Tribolium castaneum: one gene and its partner. The protein of the gene in region 1 interacts with the protein of each later gene in a pairwise test. Links are inferred from orthologs where the notes say so. Each region holds a gene or a part of one and is shown on either strand. Other genes may lie near its edges.

Region 1 (12,530 bases):
TTGGTTTCGTGCTGGATCCAGCAACCGGAGAACCGAAAGAGTTTTACATTTGTGAAAATAAACCAGCGCATAGATTAATAGAGGAGTTTATGCTTTTGGCCAACATGACCGTGGCCAAGTGGATAAATGAGGCCTACCCGGACCTGGCCTTTCTGAGGTGAGTTTTTCACCATTTTACAATGTTTTTTAACTCAATCAAAGTTAAATCAAGTTGGCAACACCCAGAAGTACATATTCCTACACAAACTCGATTTATTATGGTTTTAAAAATAGATTATCTTAAAAATCTTAAATTTTCAAAATTACGTTTGTTACCCCCATGCCAATTCGATAAGTTTAATAAAAAGTTAAATAAATTAAATATTTTTAAATAAATTAAATATTTTCCACGCCAAGGAAATCCAACAAGAAGTTTAATAAAAAGTTAGTTATTGGTTTTTTCGTTATCTGTCCAGTGTCAAAAAAACGGCCGTTCGGGGAGCTACTGGTCCGCTCCAGTGGAATCTATATATTTCGGTTTGAAACTTTGCTAAATTTTGTTTGCAAAAAAAATATTTTTGTGTTTTGTTTATTTTTTATTATATTTCTTTATAACTAAATTAAATAGTATAGCAAAAATTAAGAAATTTGGGTCTTGAATCAGTATTAAAATTTGGAAGAACATATAATTAAACATTACAATAACTATTTATAATTTCTCCAATACTTCGAGCCCTTGGTTCTTGCACAATTTATTACATCTGACACAATTTTTAAATCAGAATAATATGTACCACCTAATATTTTTAAATCCCTTTGTAGACCAAAATCAAAACGAAATGGTCTTGGAATCACGTAGCCTTTATAAAGTGATTGATTTTAAGCTAACAGTTTAATTTAATATAACTTAATTCCGAATTCTAATTCGGTCCCAAAAAACGAAACTGCATTTGGTAACAATTTTTTGTTCTCGGTCTTTCAATACATGGTAGTGCTTTACCAAAGCATAAACTTTAAATAATTTTTTACTGTAGTTTCCTTTGAAAATTTAAATCGTCAGTTTTTCTCAGTCTGTTAGGATGCAAAATTTAACATTTATGTATTTTTTCCAATAATTAAAATTAGGCGCCGAGTCGGTATACCGCTCGAAGCGCCCTCATTTTTACTCTACCGTACTATTTTTTTGGGTTCAGAAAATCCTGCGATTAAGTATCGCGATTCGTCTCCTAACTTATAGTCCTCCGTAGTCTGCACCATTTATTTTTATGTTTATCAATAATAAATGAAATAATAATAATAATTGTGAAGACTTCACGAGGCGCCCAAGCCGACCATGATGACCGAGCTCCAAAAAAGCCTCGAAACCCTGGGCCTCCACATCGACATCTCCACTTCGGGGGGCATCCAAGCCTCCTTGAACAAGTACATCAGTGAGGACGATTTTGGCAAAGCCCGCATGATCGTCCTCAACCACCTCCTGGCCAAGCCTATGAAGAGGGCGCGATATTTTTGTGCCGGTGCCCTTGAGGAGGAGCTCGATTACAGTCATTACGCCCTCAGTATACCCATCTACACCCACTTTACGTCACCAATCCGTCGATATGCTGACATAATGGTGCACAGACTGCTCGCAGCGAGTTTAAACTATCGAGAGAAACCCACTTGGGCGCCTGAGGAGGTGGCAACGATTGCCGAAACGTGTAACCGGCAGAAATATCACGCCAAGCGGGCCGGGGAGGCTAGTAGTGACCTGTTTTTGGCCCATTTTGTCGAAAAGAATCAACCAGTGATTGAAAATGCAGTGGTTGTGGATGCGAAAGAAAGGTCTATTGATGTTATTGTGATTAGGACGGGAAGTGTTGTCAGGATTTATACAAATGTAAGTTGTGTTAGGTTTGTTTTTGTTTGTCATGTTTTGTTTATTAGAATTTTGGGGATAAAGTTACGTGGAAAAGTGAGGAAATTAAAGTAAGGAAAAGTTCAAGCGATGAGGAAACTGCGAAGAAGATGTGGAAGATTTTTGTTAAATTTCCAAGGACTGTCGAGGAACCGGAAGTTTGCATCGTTTTGGAAATTTTTACGTTGGTGAGAGTCGAATTGGCACGGAAGCACAAAACGAACAAATTGGACGCGAAATTGTTGAGGCCGATACAACTCGTGTAAGGCGAGTTCAAAGCAATTAAAAAAAAAATTAAAATAAACGAACTGTTAAAAATTCGAAACTTTATTTCCTCCCGTCCCCCCATAAAAAAATCAGCTGTAGTCGCAAAAAAGAGAGCAAAAAATCAGCTATGGTCACAAAAACTGCGACAAAAAACAACTTTACGAAAAGTGAAAATTTGTTAGTGCTGAAAAATAAAATGCATTTTCTTGAAGTTCGCAAAAAATGGAGGGTGGTAGCAAAAAATAGCGCAAAAAATCGCGGGTGGTAGCAAAAAATTGCACAAAAAATTGGCTAGGTCACAAAAACTTCGATAAAAAACGACTTTTCGAAAAATTACAATTTTCTAGTGCTGAAAAATAAAATAAATTTTGTCGGAGCTCGCAAAAAATAGCACAAAAAATCGCGGGTGGTAGCAAAAAATGGCGCAAAAAATTGGCGATGGTCACAAAAACTTCGACAAAAAACGACTTTTCGAAAAATTACAAAATTACAATTTTCTAGTGCTGAAAAATAAAATCAATTTTGTCGGAGCTCACAAAAAATAGCACAAAAAATCGCCTATGGCAACAAAAAATCGGCTGGGGGCACAAAAAATATGACAAAACCCAAGTTTCGGAAAAATTTATTTATTTATCAAACTTTCAAATTCTATATTTAGGCCGCCACATCAAAGAAACGGTCAATAACCGCGGACACCTCATCAGGCTTATGCTTGATGTACTTTTCCGGGTTCTTTGTAAATTGGACACCTGCATACCTGTGAAACACACACACAATTTAATTTTTACACACAACCAACTCACTTACATGTTATAAAACGAATTGTATTTCGGAATAATCAACTCTTTATTATCCCTTTTGATACTTTCGCGCAATTCGACGTCTGGAATCGAATATCCGCGCTGAACTTTGGCGATGTCTTCAATTTCTTTATTAAAACCCTGAAAAAACCGTTTTGTGGCGCCATTTTTTAGGTTTTAAGGCCACTCACAGCAAATTTCTCCTTAATTACGGCCCTGTCTTTATCACGGAGCTTATCACCGTGCAAAAGATTAACAGGCGAGTCGTCACACCAGATGTAGTTCAAGAGTTTGCCCCAACTGAAAAATATACATAGAGGGCGCCACCCTCCCATTCACTACTGATACCTTTGCGAGTAAGCTTTCTTGTGTTCTTGGATAGAGTTATAGTAATATTCCTCACATTTCGGTTCGGAAATTAGGTACAACTCCAGTAATGAGCTGCGCTGGAGCGACTTCAGCACATAATTGTTGTTATTTAAGCGGAAAATTGCCTTCAAAGCTGGGTCACTATACTGTTCGCTTTTACTAATCAACGTGTGGTTCAACTGCACTAAAACCTTCTCTAAAATTCGAAAAATAAAAACGTCCACTCAAGTTTGATCAAAAATTATTACTAATATAAAGGCCCAGAAGGGCCTTGTTCGTGTCAGCGGCCTTCAAACGGTCCAATTGTCTCGAATAACTAACATCCTGTGCCAGAACCATGCCAATAGTGTCGGTATAATCGAGCAATTGTTCCAAAAACATGATCACGTTGCTTGTGAGCTCGTGCACGGTCCCGTCGCTAGGCAACTGCGTCACCGAATCGGACCGTAAACTCTCGATGAAGTCCTCGAGTGCTTTCGCCCCCTAGCAACCAATCAAACACCACCAACAACCAATCAAATCGCTCACCGTCGAGTGCAACATCCCCAAAATGGCGTCAAACTTCGACTTGACATTCAAATCGCACTCCTCCACCGTTCGTTCAAACTCGGGTTTCAGCGAACGCAGCTGCTTCAAAATCGGGAAAACGACCAAAACTGTGCCGAAATCGTGCCGACTGATGCATTTCTTCGCACGCGAGACTATATTCTGAAACCTTTTTAAAAAAGTGATAACACAACCCTGGCTACAAACCTCGCCATCTTGGACGATTGTGTCCATGGCCTCCCTGACTATCAATTCGAAAACTCGGGGCTGGTGCCTTGGCGCGATTATGCCCTTGATCAAGGCTTGCTCGATTTGCATCAGTTTGTGTAGCGCGATCACGCACACTAGATAATTCTCTAGTTCTTGCTCGTTGTCAAACTCCTCCCCGTTGTAGGAGGGGTCGAGGTGGGAGGAGGCGCGTCGGGTGCCGAGAGTGAAACCTGTCGAATGTTCAAGCGTTTGCGATGCTTTTAAAAGCATGCGATTGGCTTTGCGTTCGAAGGCGTGGTGGAGGCGGCGCGTTGATGGCTTGCGACTAGCTTCATGTCGGTTTTGAAATTTGGGGCGCTACAATTTGTTTTTCTCAAGTTGGTATTAGAGTGGTACTAACTAGGCCTGGGCGATTTTGATTTCGAGTAATCGATTAATCACATCGACAGTTAGAAAAACAGTTGGAAAATGTTTACCTACTTTTAGAATATACAACTGGTTCAGAATGGCAACAAAAACAAAATATGCGATATTGGTAGATACCACACAAAGGGTGATATAATGGGCGACCACCATGGGGATCTCAGTTATTATTCGAAAGTAAAATTAATTAATTAAATTAATTAAGAATAATAATAATAATAATTTATTAATAATTAATTAATTAAAATGAATAAAACCAAAATTAATTTTTACATTACCATAAAGTGCCCAAATAATGTGTTTTAAAAAATTGTTTCAAGATTCTAGATAATTAAAGTGGCCGAAATCTAACGCGAAATTTTCTGAGAAATCCACATTTGTTTTTGTATTTACGGTATGACCAATAGTTTAAAAGATATTAGTAAAAAACTACTTGAAAAATTCTACTTATTAGATAGGTTTTAAAGTTCTTTTCTTCTAGTTTTTTAGTATTTTTAAGTAAATAACTTTTTAGATAGATTAATTCCTAGATACTGCCTGGACAATTTAATTTATAAAAATGGTACCGCTGTAAAAAATAAAATAAAATTACTTTTCAAATTACCAAAAAATGTTATAAGTTATAAGAACTTGTCTTGAGTTCTTAAACAATCAGAATAACTGGAATCTAATGCAGAATTTTCAGAGAATTCCAAATCTGCTTTTGTTTTTACGGTACCATCAATAGTATAAAAAATATTATTAGAAAAAGCTCTCAAAATACCAAAAGTTTTAAAATAAAAAATTAATTGATCATTATTTAAGCCCTTTTTTATTTTTTTTTGTATTTTTAATTAACTATTTTTAGTTACATTTAATTAGTTATTTTCAGGTACTGTTTAAAATGTTAGATTTATCAAGTGGTACGGCTAAAAAAAGGAATAAAACCAAAATAATTAAAGTGTTATAACAGATTGTCTCGAAACTATCAGAATAGCCTGAGTCTAATGTAAAATTTACGACCATTTAGTTTCAAAGATATTGGTAAAAAAAAACACTTGAAATACAATCTTGCAAAATTTCTTGCAGTATTTATTTATTCTTTTTGTTTGTGTTTCTCACTATTTTATGATATTAGCATAATACGTAATTTAATATTACGTAAAATTATTACAGACATTGAAAAGACCACCTTTTGTAACTTATGCTTAAATGTAACAGCAGTTGTTAATCTTAATTGCAGTTTTGTAAATTTACCGAAGTATTACATGATTTTTTTAGTGGAAAAATTCTAACTTAAAATTCACACACTTCACTAATTTGTTGTCTTTTTTTTTGAGCCCAACATGTGCTCGCTATGATCCATTACTTATAGTCTTTAAGTATACAATTGTTTTAATAACATTTTGTAATCAAAAAATTAATCTTCTACACTTTTAGTTCTCTTTCAAATTCCAACAAAAAACACTTTATAACTACAGAAAAAACCGCATAACCAAAGCCCAATCTAGTATTTAGTATTTATCACGTATTCTTAATCTAATTCTCTCTAATGTAAGAAGTTAACACTCTTAATTTACAATAATTCTTTAGTGAAACCAATTTTAAGCAGAAGCGGAAGTAAAGAAGGTTAGGACAGACAAATAAAAATTTCCAGTATTTCGATTCTAATATTCTCCATTGTATCATGCAGAAACGTCTAAAAAGATAACTTATTGTGTCTGAAACTATACTTATGTTGTAAATGATCTGTAAGTAGTCTAATATTTATATTTAGTACTTTCTGTTAGTGTTTAATTATATTTATAATTTTGTTTTATTATTAAATGAAAAAAAAAACGAACAAGGTTTAGATTGAATTCAAATTTGCCGCCACTATCCGTAGCGCCATCTGAGTAAAGGTTTATTTCCGACGGAAAAACCCGAATAGTTCCGAAAAATTCCGGATAAAATTTTTATATTTGAACGTACTTTGTGTCAATAACGATTAACCGATTATTTGATTAATCAACTGATTACTCGATTATCTTGCCCAGCCCTAGTACCAGCACAAGTTACCAACCAGCATTGGTGAACTGGCAACACCATGGACACTCCCACCGCTTACGCTCTTCTGGTGGTTGCGTAACATGGTCAAAGACCGCTGTAAAACAGCCCCACGCACTTTACCATAAACTGTTAAATATTCATCTCGGCCGTTGTCAAGTAGCCAATTTGCGATTTTAATCAAATAGGCTTTCGTATGGTCTGGAATTTGAACAGGTGGGAGCTTTTCGCGGTTGTCAGAATTCTCGTAATTGATCAAATCGAGGAGAACGACCGGAAGCATTGGAGTGTTGTATTTGTCCAAAATTGTTTTAAATTCGGAATTGAGTTTGTCGCTACCTTTATGAAATAAAGTGGTCTAAAAACCTGTTTTAAATTTTGTTGACCTAAAAAATGGGGGTTAGACGTACGACATTTTCGAGTTCCACGCTTTGGGGGATGTGTTTTTCGAAATATTTCTGGGCTTTCGCCAGGCGATTTAATGAGTGGATGTAGTCGTCTAAATCGATACCGCTCTCACCAGGTCCTTTCTCAATTGTGCTTTCAACGTCACTTGATACGTTGTAATAGCTTATAACATCGTCGAGATATGTGAGAGTTTGGTCGATATCTGGTTATTTGAGTCAAGGAAAATCAACTAAATTTGATATTTGAGACGAAAACTAGGGGCGTTTCAAGGATACTGACTTGTGATTTTTGTAAATTTTCGGTATCATTGTAGACCGGTAAAATAGTGTCTTCAAGCCGTGAAAGACGCTCCTCAAACGAATTGAGAATCGTATCAATGCCTTTCGTGATTTGAGAGCTTTTTTTCAGTCTTTCAGTCAGCAAAGATAGGTTAGATTTCTCCTACGGGCATAAGTTAGATTATGTCACGATTACCAAATCACTGACTTTCTCCAATTTGCTTGTAATCTCATAAGTGCGTTCCTCGATAATATTCATCTTGTTTAATCCCAATATTTTGGAGAATTATTTCCAAAATTGAAGACTTTACGAGCAAAACATTATTGACGTCTTTTGTTACTAAATCAACAAACTTGACAATTGGCAAATCCCTAAACTAGAGAATGCTACGGAGGACTATAAGTTAGGAGACGAAAGAAAATACGAAATCTCAAAATTATCTGAACCCAAAAAAATAGTCCGGTGGAGTAAAAATGAGGGCGCTTCAAACGTTATATTGTTTCGGCGCCAAATTTATTTAAACCCAACGAATTCACTATTACTTGAAAAAAAACGCGAAAATATTGAGCTTTGTACTCTTAATGGTCTAAAATTTTCATAAAAAAATACGAGAAAAAAAATTATTAAAATTTTACAATTTGCGTTTCGTCCCGTATTTTTCAAGACTTTGCGAATATAGTTAAAGATACAAGGAAATAATTTTGAAGAAATTTGTAGAGAAATAAATTTAATATAAAAAATTCGTGACGCCATATCTCTATCGTCAACAGTTTAGGTTCTAAAAACGTTCAAAAACGCTCAAGTAACGGAAACGTAATTTATACCTAAACTGTTCTTCAACAGTTTATCTTCATGTTTTTATCTTCATAAAAACATGGTGTCCCGGACTTTTTTGTAAAAAATTTAATTTTCTACAACTTTCTTTTTAACATTTTTCTTGCATCTGTAACTCTATTCACAGCGTTTTGAAAAATATGGGGTAGAGTGCAAATTGGTACAAGTTTTTTTAAATATAGTTTACGATAAAATTTTTGTATTATGTTTATGTCCTACTATGGAGAATTTAATATTCTATGTGCCTATATTTTTTTCTTTGCTATGTGTTAAACGGTATACAATTTTTTTTTCAAATTCATTGGTCTGAAAACATAGGACGGGAACGTTTTATTTTCTACATCTTTTCATATCCTAACCCTTAAATATTTGTACTCTAAATAAAGTGCTACTTTCGAAATTTTCTATACGTTTTTAACGTCCTTCGCGCATTTGGGTGGAAAACATAAAGTAATGTATAATTACTGCGAAAGCAAGATGATTATTTAAAAGAAAAACATTGTCAAACTTGACAAACAACAAATCCCTAAACGATTCGAAAAAATCTAATTCTCCCTTAAATTTAATGAAAAGAAACGGAATTTCTGATTATTTGGTCTAGACACGCACCCTCTGTGATTCACGCTTGTCGCCCGTCAAATGTTTCACCCTAACTTCGGCCAAAACCACCCCAATCTTCCCCCGGCCGACTAGATTTAAAATCAATGAAACCTTACGATTTTCTCGAGAGGGGATGAATTTTCACGATAGGGGAATTTCGAGTTGACGTTGGGGAAAAGTGGAAATTGCCGGAGTGCAGAACGTGTGGCGTGTTTTTGTTTTTTTTCAGTTTTTTTGAGACAGGTGTATGGTTTTTTAGTGCGAGGAAAACCTTTTCGTTGAGTTTTTCCGATTGTGAATGGTGCTGTGAGGAAAATTCGTCCATTTTTTCAGTTTTCGTACCACTTAATCGGCGACAAGGATCATTCACAGCTGTAACAACAACAATAACAGTAGTAAAATAAAAAACAATATGCAAAGACAATTTTTTGGCATAAATTGCAAATTTTAGTTAGCCGAGACGCAAACCGGTCCATGCAGTTACCGGTATTATGCTGTCGCACTCGGCGTGGCCTCATCGAGTGTCGCCCTCTACCACCCAAATCCTGCCAACAAATCTTACTCATGCCCAATCATCGGAATCCGGAATCGAACCCGGACACATAGCGACAATCACCGGATCTTTGGCCTCGTTTCCGGATCATTACGACACGGATCACACGGATCTGGCGAGCGAATCGGACGAGGCCGAACTCAAACGAACACTTTTACGAGACGTGAGCGCCCAAAAATGCAAAAAACACAAAATATATACTTTTTATTACAGCAATGGCGCCAGTTTTTCGACAAGGTACACACGGATGATCAAAAAATCCAACAAATAACTGTTTCTGATGAGTATGGAAAGTGCTTTTTTCGCTTTTAGCATCTTTTAATATCACAAGTGAACATGTTTTCTTATTTTTTTGATGTCTATTACGTGTCTTTTATGTAATTTTATCAAAAACTGGCCATCATGTCAAATCTCAGAAAAAAAAATATTCAAAACCGCCAAAATCTTTGAAAAATCAAAATTTTGAAAATCAAGTAAACCTAAAAAGAAAAACTTTTTAAATAAACGCCACAATATACAGGCTGTTTCGCTTAAACGGCATATTAAAAGTACTGAATGTTCTAATAATTATAAGTATCTGCAAATTGTGTAAAGCCGCGATATTTTCAACATGGCGGCACTTCCGGTTATACCGGAAGTCGGTATTAACTTTCTTATTTTGAATAAAAAGATATGTTTTTTACTGCGTTTCTAGATAAATCAAGTTATTTTAAAGGGATTTTCATGAGATTTCCCTAAATTTAGCCGATACACCAATCAAATTGGCTCAATTTGGTCACGTGATCAGTTAATCACGCATTTAATTGCGGATTAAATTAATGACGTTTATAAACCGATCCTTAGTCTTAAAAATAGTAAGCACATCATTAAGTGCTTTGAAATTGTGATCATTTTTTTATTTTTTTTTCGAAATTCCTTTGAGTTTTTGAGTTAAGTTAAAAAAATATGTTTTAATAAAATTTAAATATTTAGCATTTAATATTAAAATTATTTATTAAATATTTAATAAATTTAAATAAAGTTAATCTAGATATAATTTAATATAAAAGATAGCAAAAAAAAATTGTTGTGCTTTGTATTTAAAGAAGCAATTTCCATACTCTGTAACAAGTTGGTGACTTTTAACGCCGCGTGTTGGCAGTACGACCCGGAGGGTTTCGGGGAAATCCCCTGGGGCGACTTGATTTCAGCAATGTCGGACCCGGAGTTTCGTCATCGCGTCGGCACTGGAAAACGCGAGATCCTGTTAGAAAAGGCCAGGAGTGCCACAACACCGGCGATTACATTCCAAGATTTCGTGAACGTGGTGAGTTTTTTATTTCGCATTAAGCTAGCATTGAAACGTCGGGGTTTTTGATTCTATTGTGTTTTTCATAAATAAATTCGCCGATGTAAAAGCGCCCGCCCACACTAATGACATTTTTCAAATTCCTCGTTAGTGTGACAAGCAATAAATAACTCGTCCAAATCCGGCCGTTTCACACCGACAAAGTAGTCACAACAGTGAAAGAGCCGTATTTCTCCCCCGATCGTCTATTGTTATTGGGGGATGCTGGGAATTTTGGTACGGCGTGTGTGGTACGCCTGGGGGTGACGTCTCATTTACGCGTCGATTGACTTTCGTTATGTCACTTTTGTTTTTATCGCGGCCTGCTCGATGAACTCGGCGAATTCTTTGCATTGCGACGACGGTCGATTTCAAGGCCGAACGCGGGTGGTGCACCTTCATCAGGGGCCCACTACCTACCTGAAACTCACTCTCGCTATCTGCGAGATAAGCTCATTGCGAAAATTATTGCACCGATGGATGTGTGCTGGTGCTGCTGCTGCTGCTCCTGTTGCTGCCGCTTCTGCGGTATTCAGGAACTGGTTTCGGTTGTAGAGGAATAAAAAATAAAAACACCGAGACGAAGACGAGTGAAGGAAAAAAGAGACAGTCGGAACGCGCTGATTAGTCAATTTAATTTAATCGCGACGATGGCGAATAAATTCCAAAGGTGGCCGCTTTATGACCGCGGAATAATGAGCGAGCGCGGCGACGCCATGCGACGACATCGAGAAGCATTTCTGACAGGAGAAATGTCAAAAAAGTTGCCAACCTTACCTATTTCTAACACATACTGTATAATACATTCCCAAAAAAACGATATTCTCAATACATTTCTTATTTAGATGTCGAATATAATATTATCTACTTGTTTTTCAATATATTATAATATATTTTTACTTCTTTAAAAATAGAAAGGGTTGAACTTGAAAAAGTAGATAATCAACAAAATCATGTCATATCACCTCAAAAATTAGTTTATGTACGAGTTAACGTTCCAAATAAAATAATTTATCTATCAAATTCTGCTTTTTTTTTTTTAGGTAAGTAAGTTTCTGGTTCGTTCGTTCATGTCCGGTTGTTTTGAAAACGAAAAACCTCAAAATCTAAGTTTTTTCGGACAAAATAAAATAAATTCAGTGATTTTTTACTGCTCTTTTTCGTTTTTTAACAGTAAATAAAACTTAAAAATAATACATAAAATAAATGAAGAAATAAATTAAAATTATAAACATAAAGACTATATAATAGTATATTAAAAAACAAGTTTTACTAAAGGTTGATTTCCCTAAATTCATTAAAATACAATGTACTTTAATAAGCCCTAAACGACTCCCACTTATTTTTATTTTATTAAATTTATTTTTTAAGTTTTCATTACTTTTTTTCCTATTACCAGAACGATCAAATTAAAAAAAAATAAAATTGGCCTGCTCAAGAATTTTTTTAAATGACAAATAGCAAAGATATGTATTTTGTGCATTACTTGAATAACTGTCTACCCAAATTATGTAAATTTTTCAACAGGAAATAAAACTTCAAATAATACATAAAATAAATTAAGAAATAAATTAAAAAGATAAACATATTATAGTATATTAAAAAACAAGTTTTATAAGGGTTGAGTTAATAATAAGGGTTAATAAGCCATAAAAGACTCCCACTTATAGATGTTTATAAACGTATTATAAACGCAAAGTATAAAAAGTTATATAATTTTTTATAAAAAATAAAAATAATAACAATTAAGCATAAAGAGCTTTATCTTTTTGTTTTTTAAATATATAGCATGAAAATACTTAATATGACACATAAACACAAAAAAATAATCAAAAAACAATCATCATTTATAAAAAAAGTAAGAACAAAAAGATAAATCTCTTTGTTTTTTTTTAAATTATTTTTCCTTGTATTATATTTTTTGCTTTTTTTCGGACAAAATATTTGATACTCCGGGTTTTCATAAAATTAGTACCTCAGCCCCCTTAACAATCAATAATTTAAAAGTATGGC
Region 2 (13,047 bases), on another chromosome or scaffold:
TGTTTGAAGAGGCGCAGTTTAAGCAATTTATTTTCAAGTGTCGCGCCAAAATTGAAACCTACAATGTACAATTCCGGCGTTTTGGGTGTTTTTTCTATGGTTGTTTTGCAGGATGAGCAGAAAATGAAGACTGTTGTGGTGACTGTGGCGCCAGTGGATTACGAGGAGTACAATGCTTACCTGGTGGACAGGATTGAAAAATTCACTGGAGTTCCTTGTAATTGATTATTGCTTTTGTTGTGTAACTTTCGCAAATAAATTATTGTTTTGTTGGGGATTTTGTCTTCTTCTTAGCAAAATGGTTCCAACCCATTGCCAACGTATAAAAACAGCTTACTTTTCACAAATCGATTAAAATCTTGCAATTTTTAAAAGTTGTTCGTAGGCAGCCACCTATACAAACTAGAGTATTGTAGATTGCCTATCATTTAGATTAAAGTTTTATTATAATTTAAAACCAAAATGTGTATTAGAAAGAGGTTTTAACAAGACAGTGACATTTTTTAATGTTTTTTAACAAATATGAAAAACCAGGCTCTAAGAGCATTTAGAAGAAATTGTGGATGAAAACTACCACTGTAAAAATAAAGTGCTATTTTTCTAAATTTTTGTAAAATTTCAAAAAATTTCATAAAAATTAGCAAAAATTTTATAAAACCTGAGATTCACAAAATGCGAAATATCTCCGTTCCTGTAGGAGATAGAGGGGTGGTTCTGCCCTTTTGAAAACCCCACCGTCCCGTAGTACTTTTCCTGGGCTATCGAATGGAATAGGTCCCGTTCCCGTATCTCCACCAGGAACCGAAATAGCACTGCACATTTTTAAATCACTTATCGGAGTACATGACGTAATAGAGCGTCAAAAGTTACGTGTGCATGCAAAATTTCAAGTCGCTACGATAACAGGAAGTGCCTCAAAATTGATTCGCAAAAAATGACTCCAAACAAATCACATTAAAAAAAATTTTTAACAAAAAAGCCTGAGTTTTTTATTAGTAGTTTTTATCAACTTTTTTTTTTGTCTTCCGGATTTATGAATATTTTGAACTTAAATTTGGGGCACTTCCGGTTGTCGTAACGACTTGAAATTTTGCATGCACACGTAACTTTTGACGCTCTATTACGTCATGTACCCCGATTAGTGATTAAAAAATGTGCAGTGCTATTTCGGTCCCTGGTTGAGATACGGGAACGGGACCTAGCCTATTCGATAGCCCAGGAAAAATACTACGGTGCCCTGGGGTTTTCAAAAGCGCAGAACTACCCCTCTATCTCTTACAGGAACGGAGATATTTCGCATTTTGTGATTTACACATTTTTCTCAAATTTTCATAAAAATTTTCATAAGTGAAAGAAAATTTTGGTAGTTTCAAGTTTAAGTGAAATAAAATCACATAAAAAAACTTTTAACAAAAAAGCCAGAGTTTTTTATTTGCAATTTTTATCAACTTGCTTTGTTTTCTTCCGAATTTATGAATACTTTGAACTTAAATTTGGGGCACTTCCGGTTGTCGTAACGACTTGAAATTTTGCATGCACACGTAACTTTTGGAGCACTATTACGTCATGTACTTCGATTCCCGATTTAAAAATGTGCAGTGCTATTTCGGTTCCTGATGGAGATACGGGAACGGGACCTAGCCTATTCGATAGCCCAGGAAAAGTACTACGGGACGGTGGGGTTTTCAAAAGGGCAGAACCACCCCTCTATCTCCTACAGGAACGGAGATATTTCGCATTTTGTGATTTACACATTTTTCTCAAATTTTGATAAAAATTTTAAGAAGCGAAAGAAAATTTTGGTAGTTTCAAGTTTAAGTGAAATAAAATCACATTAAAAAAACTTTTAACAAAAAAGCCAGAGTTTTTTATTTGCAGTTTTTATCAACTTGCTTTGTTTTCTTCCGAATTTATGAATACTTTGAACTTAAATTTGGGGCACTTCCGGTTGTCGTAACGACTTGAAATTTTGCATGCACACGTAACTTTTGACGCTCTATTACGTCATGTACTTCGATTCCCGATTTAAAAATGTGCAGTGCTATTTCGGTCCCTGATTGAGATACGGGAACGGGACCCACTCCATTCGATAGCCCAGGAAAAGTACTACGGGACAGTGGGGTTTTCAAAAGGGCAGAACCACCCCTCTATCTCCCACAGGAACTGAGATATTTCGCATTTTGTGATTTACACATTTTTCTCAAATTTTGATAAAAATTTTAAGAAGCGAAAGAAAATTTAGATAGTTTCAAGTTTAAGTGAAATGATTTCGTATCAAGTAAAGAGTAGAAGTCTCTTTTTTGTTAACGTCAGAGCACGAATTTAAATTTAGCCTCGCATGCTTTTGGTGCGCTTATAGGTCACTTATGAGGAAAGGTTTTTAGGGACGGAAGATAAACAAGTTGAGATTTAATCACTTTATTTGTAAAATTAAAATAAACATTAACATAAAGTAATCGTACTTTAAGACCTAATTATGCGAAATGCAAGACGACAAACTATTGTGTACAACTCGCAGTCAATTTATCCCTAATCTAAACCGTACAATTTTAATGTCCTGTCCATGGAAGTGGAAGCTATAAACCTGGCGTCTTTACCGAACCTAACACCCGTCGCTGCAGCCGTGTGGTCATTGAACACCTTCAGTTCCTGCCATTGCTTACAGAAATACACCCTAAGAAAAAAAAAATTAGAAACAAATCAAAATTAAAAAAATTGTTTACCTGACATCAGTTCCCGCCACCGCCAAATAGGTCCCGCTCTGATCAAAGCACAAGTCCTTGATTTGGTAATCCTCATCCAACTGGAGCGTTTTAAAGTTCCTCACTTTCCTCAAATCCCACAACTTGACGCAGGCATCGTCAGCCGTCGCCATGTAATACCCATTCTCCGAGAACGAAATGGCTGTGATCGCCCCCGCATGTCCGGTGCAAGTCGCAACATTGAGCTGCTCCTTCAGGTCCCAAATCTTGACTTGGGAATTCGCCGTCCCCGTGCCGAAAATCAGCCCGTCTGGATGCAGCTGGGCCGTCGTCAGGGGAATATTGCTCTGGTCGGCGACTTTCGTCAACAGTTCGCCCGTTCTGATGTCCGAAAACGCCCAATGCTGGTCCTCTGAAGCCGACAGGACGTAGTCCCCAGTCGGATGCAGGGACAGTCCGGTGATTGGACCTTCGTGGACGCGCAGCAGTAGAGTGGTTTGGGACGTTGGCACGTTCCAAACGCGGATTGTGGAGTCGGGCGATGCGGTGATAACAAGGTCCTCGTCAGGGTGGTAGACCACTTTTGTGACTTTTTTAGTGTGGCCTTTGAGAATCGCCACAACTTGTTCCGTGTCTTTGTTGAATACGGTGGCGTTGCGATCATTACCACCGGTCAGAATTTTGCTTGTGTCGGAATTGTGCACGTCAAGGGCCAAAATACCGGGGACGCTCGCCGAATGCAGCCCCTGGAGGCAAAGAAATTACTCTGTAAAGTGTACTCTAGCTCAATAAAAAATGTAATCTGCTAATTTTCGCCCGAACTTGGTGATTTTTCGGTTTGCTTGAACAAACTGAAAATGTGGTTCAAAACCTTAATAAAAGTAAAAAAAGATTAACCAAATTTAGGTCAAAAAATGAGCTGAATTAAAAGTGAATTTTTGGCAGTTTTGGCGAGTTCTAATGAAATGAAGAATTTCCTGGTTCAAGAGCGAACTAAATAAATGGTATCAGGTGTTCATTATTTAAAAAAAACTCGTAGCATGCTCTGACATTTTTACGGATTTCGTAGATCAATTTTTATCATTGTATTGTTGGTTGCCTATCAACCAGGTCATCACAATTCATAGCCAAAGATTGTTAAATAGTGTTCAAAGGCGATGTGTTATGTGTGTTGAACAACAAGGAAGACATTTCCAACAGTTTTTATAAATAATAAATAAATTTTATGATGAAAATCTGTTTTCTTTTAGTTGTCAAAAAGTAAGGTTATGAAAGAACGGATTAATCACAGACATAGTAAACAATTATTTTTTTATTTTCAAAGCACTCTAGAGTTTTTTTTAAATGAACACTTGTTATTGTGTTAATTAATTTGATGATTTTAGCCAATTCTAGCAAAAGTTTGTGCTTACAGCCCGGAAAAAAGTAAAACTAACACAATTTTCGACTTATTTATAATGAGTTTTGACGAATTTCACTCAAACTCAAATATACTAAATAATTAAATAATAATTAATGTCGATTCACTTATGTGACAAGATATTACAAAATAAATTAGTTTCCGAATGGTTTTGAACGAAATTTTGCGGAATATTTGTGGTTTTAAGTGTAAAACGTATTAAAATGATCGCAAATGAAAAATTAATGTAGTTTTCTATATTTAATTTGGCGATTAAAACAAAAATTCAAATGTGCTTGAAAGCATGAATAAAGAAAAAATAAGAATTTTAACAATTTCATTGGTTTCTTGTCTTGTTTTTGGGAACATTTCATTCAAAAATAAGCTGATAATAAGTTTTTGATTTTTAGGTGTTTTGTCAAGATCTCGTAAAATAAAAGAGTCGGCTTTTTATTTTTTTTACGAAATTTGGAAAACAGTTCTGTCTTAAAAGCGTACTAAAATGCTCGTGAACTCGAAAAATAATAAAATCTTAGAATTAATTTGGTGTTTTTTTCATCTACCTTTTTAGAAAAGCCTCAAAAAACAGAAAAATTATTTCTGCATGTTTTTCTCAGTTGGTTTTGCAAAATTTCGCCAAAAAAGCTGAAAATTAAATTCAAAAACGTGCTCTAAAGCTTAAAAAACGTAAAAATTTTGATCAAATTTTGTGGTTTCTTGCGTTTTTTTTTAAAGGGAATTTCGCGAAAGTTAATCAAAGTTAATAAAAACAAAATAATAAGTTTATATTTTTATTGTTGGGAAATAAATAAATTCCTGGCTCAAAAACAAACAAAATCGAAGGGAATGGTCTAAAATAACAACCATCTTGATGTAAAAATAGTGCTTTTTTATTAAGTTTTTGTAATGTTTATAGAAAAAAGCTTAAATTGTTTTCAAAAAAAATTTAAAACACTTGAAAACAACAAAAAAATGTAACATTTTCGCTCTTATCTTAAAAAAAAAATTCGAAATAACTACATTGTCGAATGTTATACGAATTAAATTGCCGGAAAATGGCAAAAATAACAAGATTTCAACGAAATTTTGCTTTTTGACTGCAAAATGTATTACGAAAATAGAAGATTTCCCAAATTAATTTCCTGATTTCTCAGAATAAGTTCGAGATAAACAACCTGAAATGACATCATTTTCGATCACTTTATTGAAATATTTAGATATTTACTTAAAAAAAACAACGCATTTTTGGCTCAATTCAATTAGAATTAGGTTAGAAAGAAATTCTTTTATTTGAACGAACATTTAGTTAAAAAATATCAGTGTTTTGAACACATCCTGTGACTTTTGGCTTATTTTTGATGAAATTTCGCCCAATAACAAGCTAAATCGAGTAAATCCAGCAAAATAACACCAACCTTTACACGTTTTTCCAATTGGTAAATGTGCTAAAACACTCGTAAGAGAGAAAACTAAGTCATTTTCTACCACATTTAGTAATCTTTGCATTTGTCAAGTGAAATTTTTAAAACGACAATTGTGCAAAATGCAAGAGATGTTCGGGGAAATACTGGATGGTATAAATAAAAACATTGAAAATATACCGGATGTGAGGCCAAAGTCTTGAATCCCCTCAACTGCTCCGGCGTGGACACCTCTTCAGGCACCGTCTTGCTCCTCTTCTTCCTCTCCTGCGTCAACACCGTGGCCTTGTCCTGCAGCTTCTCAATCACTTCATCAGTCAGGCCGCATTGCTCTGTCGGCTGGTTGGCGATGCCGCCGGCCTCGGCCGCCACCGCGGGCTGCGGCACCGTGATGATGCCCGCTTGGGGCTTCAGCGTGGCCAGCGCCTCCCTGGCGGCGGTCACCTCCTTGTTGAGGCGCGCGATCACGCGACACGCGGCGTCGTGCTGGTAGAGCGCGTGGCTCAGCTCCTGGCGCGCCGTCTGCAGCTGCTGCCTCTGCGTGAAGCTGTACAGCATCACGGCGTCCCACTCGTCCTGCAGCAGCTTCAGCGTGGCCGGGATGCTGGTGGCGCTCGGCGGCTTCGGCTTGACTATCGGCGGGGCTGTGTGGCGGTTAGAACCGAACAAGTTGGGTTAGGCTACTCACTCTTAATTTCAATGAGCTTGTCCACGGTGAGCTCGTCACCGCTGATGGGGTCCTTGCCGTGCTCCTGGATGTACTTTTCGATGATGCGTTTTTCGAAAATCGCACCCGACGTTGGGGACACGACTGGGTGTTCCGGCACCTCGTTTGAAACTGAAACCGGGCCAAATCGTTACCCAAACTGCGCCAGAAGCTCATTACTGACACTCGAATTAAGTTTTGATTCGTTAAAAAAGCGTACTTTATTCAAAATCGCAACAAAAATTCATACTTACGGGCACAAAACAACGCCATTTTTGCTAACTTAGCTTGATGTGTCGCCAACCGCACAAAGTGAAAAACACTGTGGCCGAGATATCTGTGCAGATGCACTAAAAATGATGATGGCACCATGAACATTACAGTCGACCAGACAATCGTTGCGCGCCTGGAGCTAGCAACATTCTCGTTTCTACAGCCAAGTTCACACCAGGAAAATTATCAAAATAATCGTAAATCATTAGAAAAACATACCCTGATCATTCTAATGTGTTTCTATTACAAATTAAAACTTGACTACATTTTTATTCTTATATTCAAGCAATGCAAATTGTTTTTTTTCACCCCCTTTTTACCGTGCAATGTTCATTATTTTTGTAGGGGAATAAGCCCTTCGATAGGGCCTTCGGCTGTAAAAAAATGTCTCAATTTTGCAAACTGCGTTAAAAAAATTCGTATTTAAAGATTGCTCTAATCAGTCAAATTAATAACTAATTTGTCCAGCAAGAACCACGTGGAGGTTTAGAGCATTCTTGCCAGGAAAAAAGGAAATAAGGATGAGGTAAACAATGATTATTGGAAAATAAAAGGGAATAAAGACATTACTGGTTTGTGTAATAAAAAAAAAGTACACAAAAATCAAAGTTTTTCACTTGGCGTTAAATAAATGTTCTTACCTTTATACTGCATCTGCTACCATTTGTAGCAAAACCTAAAAAATAAATTAAAAACACAACCAACAAAAAAAAATAATTTGTAGGAAAGTTACAAAAAGCGACACTAATAAATATTATACAGAATAAAGGATGCACAATACGGTATAATATATGGCACACAAGCTATTAAATTCAACACATCACAAGATAAAACGCAAAAAAATGCACCTACCTTCATATGGCTTCTGCGTTGGCTACTGTTTGTAGCAAGACATTAAAAAATAAAAACAACACCAATAAAAAATCTTTATTTGCATGAAAGTTACAACAAGCAACATTTGTCAATATTAAACAAAATAAAAAATACACAATACGTTTTAATATGTGGCAATTTAAATTTAAAACTTCAGTAAATAAATACACCTACCTTCATATCGCTTCCACGTTGGCTACCGTTTGTAGCATTAAAAAAATAATAATAATAAAAATGAAACCAAAAAAAAATGTTTGCATTAAATTTAGAGCAAGTGACTTTCATCGATTGAAATTAAAGACAAAATCAAAACGCGACGATAAATTGTTTGAGTGTTTTCTTTTTAGTTACTGAATTTAAAACTCAAACTATGACTTTTCAACACCGTATTAGAGCCGGTGTACACAACATTTTATTTGCAATTAAATTTTAACGAATTATTGGTTTGTGAAATAAATAAATACGACACAACAATAAAATGGACGTACCTGTGTTTCGCTTCCACGTTGGCTACCGTTTGTAGCATAAAAAATAATAATAATAAAAAAGAAACCAAAAAAAAAATGTTTCTTTGCATTAAATTTTGAGCAAGCCACTTTCATTCATTGAAATTAAAGACAAAATTATTACGTGGCAATAAATTGTTTGAGTGTTTGATTTTATTAATAGTTACTGAATTTAAAATGAGTCACTCAAACTGACTTTTCAACACCGTATTTAGAGCCGGTGTATACGACATTGTAATTGCAATTAAATTTTATGAAATTATTGGTTTGTGAAATAAATAAATACGACACAACAATAAAATGGACGTACCTGTGTTTCGCTTCCACGTTGGCTACCGTTTGTAGCAAAAAAAATAATAATAATAAAAAAGAAACCAAAAAAAAATGTTTCTTTGCATTAAATTTTGAGCAAGCCACTTTCATTCATTGAAGTTAAAGACAAAATTATTACGTGGCAATAAACTGTTTGAGTGTTTGATTTAATTTTTAGTTACTGAATTTAAAATGAGTCACTCAAACTATGACTTTTCAACACCGTATTTAGAGCAACATTGTAATTGCAATTAAATTTTATGAAATTATTGGTTTGTAAAATAAATAAATAAATACGACACAACAATAAAATGGACGTACCTGTGTTTCGCTTCCACGTTGGCTACCGTTTGTAGCATAAAAAATAATAATAATAAAAAAGAAACCAAAAAAAAAATGTTTCTTTGCATTAAATTTTGAGCAAGCCACTTTCATTCATTGAAATTAAAGACAAAATTATTACGTGGCAATAAACTGTTTGAGTGTTTGATTTAATTTTTAGTTACTGAATTTAAAATGAGTCACTCAAACTATGACTTTTCAACACCGTATTTAGAGCCGGTGTATACGACATTGTAATTGCAATTAAATTTTATGAAATTATTGGTTTGTGAAATAAATAAATAAATACGACACAACAATAAAATGGACGTACCTGTGTTTCGCTTCCACGTTGGCTACCGTTTGTAGCATAAAAAATAATAATAATAAAAAAGAAACCAAAAAAAAAAATGTTTCTTTGCATTAAATTTTGAGCAAGCCACTTTCATTCATTGAAATTAAAGACAAAATTATTACGTGGCAATAAATTGTTTGAGTGTTTGATTTTATTAATAGTTACTGAATTTAAAATGAGTCACTCAAACTGACTTTTCAACACCGTATTTAGAGCCGGTGTATACGACATTGTAATTGCAATTAAATTTTATGAAATTATTGGTTTGTGAAATAAATAAATAAATACGACACAACAATAAAATGGACGTACCTGTGTTTCGCTTCCACGTTGGCTACCGTTTGTAGCATTAAAAAAAATTAAAAACAACACCAATAAAAAAATCTTTATTTGCATGAAAATTACAACAAGCGACATAATTTTACGGCTGTAAAAAACAATCAACAATGTTATATTTAAGGATTGCTCTAATTGGTCAAATTAGTCAATAACTAATTTGTCCGGCAAGAACCACGTGGAGGTTTAGAGCATTCTTGCCAGGAAAAAAGGATATAAGGATGAGGTAAACAATGATTATTTGAAAATGAAGGGAATAAAAGAATTATTGGTTTGTGAAATGAAAAAATAGTACACAAAAATCAAAGTTTTTTCACTTGGCGTTAAATAAATGCTCTTACCTTTATACTGCATCTGCTACCATTTGTAGCAAAACCTAAAAAATAAATTAAAAACACAACCAACAAAAAAAATTAATTTGTAGGAAAGTTACAACAAGCGACACTAATAAATATTATACAGAATAAAGGATGCACAATACGGTATAATATATGGCACACAAGCTATTAAATTCAACACATCACAAGATAAAATGCAAAAAAATGCACCTACCTTCATATCGCTTCCACGTTGGCTACCGTTTGTAGCATAAAAAAATAATAATAAAAATGAAACCAAAAAAAAATATTTATTTGCATTAAATTTTGAGCAAGCCACTTTCATTCATTGAAATTAAAGAGAAAATTATTACGTGGCAATAAAATGTTTGAGTGTTTGATTTTGTTTATAGTTACTGAATTTAAAATGAGTCACTCAAACTATGACTTTTCAACACCGTATTTAGAGCCGGTGTATACGACATTGTAATTGCAATTAAATTTTAACGAATTATTGGTTTGTGAAATAAATAAATACGACACAACAATAAAATGGACGTACCTGTGTTTCGCTTCCTCGTTGGCTACCGTTTGTAGCATAAAAAATAATAATAATAAAAAAGAAACCAAAAAAAAAATGTTTCTTTGCATTAAATTTTGAGCAAGCCACTTTCATTCATTGAAATTAAAGACAAAATTATTACGTGGCAATAAACTGTTTGAGTGTTTGATTTAATTTTTAGTTACTGAATTTAAAATGAGTCACTCAAACTATGACTTTTCAACACCGTATTTAGAGCAACATTGTAATTGCAATTAAATTTTATCAAATTATTGGTTTGTGAAATAAATAAATAAATACGACACAACAATAAAATGGACGTACCTGTGTTTCGCTTCCACGTTGGCTACCGTTTGTAGCATAAAAAATAATAATAATAAAAAAGAAACCAAAAAAAAAATGTTACTTTGCATTAAATTTTGAGCAAGCCACTTTCATTCATTGAAATTAAAGACAAAATTATTACGTGGCAATAAACTGTTTGAGTGTTTGATTTAATTTTTAGTTACTGAATTTAAAATGAGTCACTCAAACTATGACTTTTCAACACCGTATTTAGAGCCGGTGTATACGACATTGTAATTGCAATTAAATTTTATGAAATTATTGGTTTGTGAAATAAATAAATAAATACGACACAACAATAAAATGGACGTACCTGTGTTTCGCTTCCACGTTGGCTACCGTTTGTAGCATAAAAAATAATAATAATAAAAAAGAAACCAAAAAAAAAATGTTTCTTTGCATTAAATTTTGAGCAAGCCACTTTCATTCATTGAAATTAAAGACAAAATTATTACGTGGCAATAAACTGTTTGAGTGTTTGATTTAATTTTTAGTTACTGAATTTAAAATGAGTCACTCAAACTATGACTTTTCAACACCGTATTTAGAGCCGGTGTATACGACATTGTAATTGCAATTAAATTTTAACGAATTATTGGTTTGTGAAATAAATAAATACGACACAACAATAAAATGGACGTACCTGTGTTTCGCTTCCTCGTTGGCTACCGTTTGTAGCATAAAAAATAATAATAATAAAAAAGAAACCAAAAAAAAAATGTTTCTTTGCATTAAATTTTGAGCAAGCCACTTTCATTCATTGAAATTAAAGACAAAATTATTACGTGGCAATAAACTGTTTGAGTGTTTGATTTAATTTTTAGTTACTGAATTTAAAATGAGTCACTCAAACTATGACTTTTCAACACCGTATTTAGAGCAACATTGTAATTGCAATTAAATTTTAACGAATTATTGGTTTGTGAAATAAATAAATACGACACAACAATAAAATGGACGTACCTGTGTTTCGCTTCCACGTTGGCTACCGTTTGTAGCATAAAAAATAATAATAATAAAAAAGAAACCAAAAAAAAAATGTTTCTTTGCATTAAATTTTGAGCAAGCCACTTTCATTCATTGAAATTAAAGACAAAATTATTACGTGGCAATAAACTGTTTGAGTGTTTGATTTAATTTTTAGTTACTGAATTTAAAATGAGTCACTCAAACTATGACTTTTCAACACCGTATTTAGAGCCGGTGTATACCAAAGCCAGTAGATATACTAAAGTAGCGACACGGACCTTGACAGGGCAACAATAACGATTATACACTCTACAGATGGCTCCACCATCAAAATTCAAAAACGTACGTCAAAAATGTCAAGATTTTTTCACGTTTGAAAAATTGGTGAATCAGAACAATAAATTCGGTGATCGTCTTTAATTTCACCCTGGTTATTACAGTTTATGTGTACAGATACCATGAAACCTTCAAACTTGTGCTTCACTCACGTAAAAATAAATCAGATCGTCCCTAAATTCAACTGAACATTGCAATGAGAAAGGCTTTTAGAATGCGCAGAATACAGCAACTCTTATGGACATTTCGAAGAAGGTGCTGGCGCTTCAACAGTGAATTCATTCCTTAAAACAATTTGAACTTTGTATTTAACGAAAAAGCCAAAAACACGTTTCAAAATAATAGTTGTTTGATCTCAAAAAATTGTAATACTTACATTTCTAATTTTAATAAACTCCTCTCTAAGTGTTTTTACAGTTTATCGTATTTAATTACTCCAAGATTTTAAATTGGTCGATTTATTTTTTTTTAATTAAATTTAATTTTTTTCCTCAACACTATTAACAACTGCTATGAAACCAAGACATTTTTCGCAATAAGAAAAGTAAATGTTTTCAATATTACCCGAGAGGTAAACCGCAGAGGAAATCAGTGTACAAAATTAAGTAAATAAAGAAATTTTAAGGAAATCACTTTAAAAATTTAGGGAAAATCAGAAGGAATCATGATAAAATCACAGGAAACCATTTGGGGTACGGTTTACACCTCGATATTACCTAAGAAATAGAAATGATACAACCTGAATTTCTCTTTATTATTTAAATGTTGTATAACATAGTTGCTGTAAATAAGTGGCTATAAAAAGTCCACCAAACTTCGATGCGCTACAATTTTCAGATTTAGATGCATTAAATTTTGTGAAACGAAGGTCAGTGTAAGCAGAGCGGTCTTAAATTCTTTCCCATTAAGACAGAATCTAATAATTTAGAATGAATTTTCAAGGAAGTATTGTTTAAATCTACCTGAAATACTTATTGAAAATTTGGTATCTTAGAAATTTCTCTTTCAAGTTGGTACCTAACACTTTATGTTTCTGAAACAATTTTTGTTTGAATGAGTTTCCAGTATTCTCACACACACGTGCTTCGTAATGTGGACGACGTTGAACACTCTGGAGGCCCTTTTGTTTAATGTTTTTGGTGTCGATTTATTATTTACGTGATTTAAGCACAGGTTTGAAAGTTCCATGAAATCTGTTCATAACCAATAATCACAGTAAAACTACAGATGAACGCCAGAATCACTGTGCTCTTTACCAATTTTTCAAAAGTGAGAGAATCTTGACAGTTTTGACGTATGTTCAAAATTACTGAC

What was found.
Region 2: the proteins of Exo70 (region 1) and Prp19 interact in a two-hybrid assay, tested with the Homo sapiens proteins (2 studies listed by BioGRID and IntAct, with this or other methods). The link is inferred for Tribolium castaneum from reciprocal best matches to the Homo sapiens genes EXOC7 and PRPF19.

What each region holds. Positions count from the first base shown.
Region 1 is NC_087399.1:7,150,102-7,162,631, reverse strand, and holds the end of Exo70 (exocyst complex component 7), read right to left. Parts: intron 10,497-12,530; coding exon of another isoform or gene 10,332-10,496; intron 9,428-10,331; coding exon of another isoform or gene 9,404-9,427; intron 9,354-9,403; coding exon of another isoform or gene 9,129-9,353; exon of another isoform or gene 9,089-9,128; intron 9,033-9,088; exon of another isoform or gene 9,010-9,032; 5' UTR 7,462-9,009; coding exon 7,411-7,461; intron 7,366-7,410; coding exon 7,200-7,365; intron 7,127-7,199; coding exon 6,927-7,126; intron 6,875-6,926; coding exon 6,533-6,874; intron 4,426-6,532; coding exon 4,066-4,425; intron 4,021-4,065; coding exon 3,841-4,020; intron 3,796-3,840; coding exon 3,561-3,795; intron 3,509-3,560; coding exon 3,292-3,508; intron 3,244-3,291; coding exon 3,135-3,243; intron 3,085-3,134; coding exon 2,951-3,084; intron 2,901-2,950; coding exon 2,798-2,900; 3' UTR 2,750-2,797; downstream 1-2,749. Other genes in the region: Dis3l2 (DIS3-like exonuclease 2), read left to right, coding at 1-157, 1,288-1,858, 1,906-2,142; stet (uncharacterized protein LOC657740), read left to right, coding at 9,129-9,353, 9,404-9,427, 10,332-10,496. UniProt on the Homo sapiens protein: Component of the exocyst complex involved in the docking of exocytic vesicles with fusion sites on the plasma membrane.
Region 2 is NC_087395.1:23,120,976-23,134,022, reverse strand, and holds Prp19 (pre-mRNA-processing factor 19), read right to left. Parts: upstream 6,615-13,047; 5' UTR 6,607-6,614; coding exon 6,483-6,606; intron 6,361-6,482; coding exon 6,211-6,360; intron 6,167-6,210; coding exon 5,703-6,166; intron 3,449-5,702; coding exon 2,724-3,448; intron 2,675-2,723; coding exon 2,530-2,674; 3' UTR 2,403-2,529; downstream 1-2,402. Other genes in the region: replication protein A 70 kDa DNA-binding subunit, read left to right, coding at 1-65, 112-225. UniProt on the Homo sapiens protein: Ubiquitin-protein ligase which is a core component of several complexes mainly involved pre-mRNA splicing and DNA repair. Required for pre-mRNA splicing as component of the spliceosome.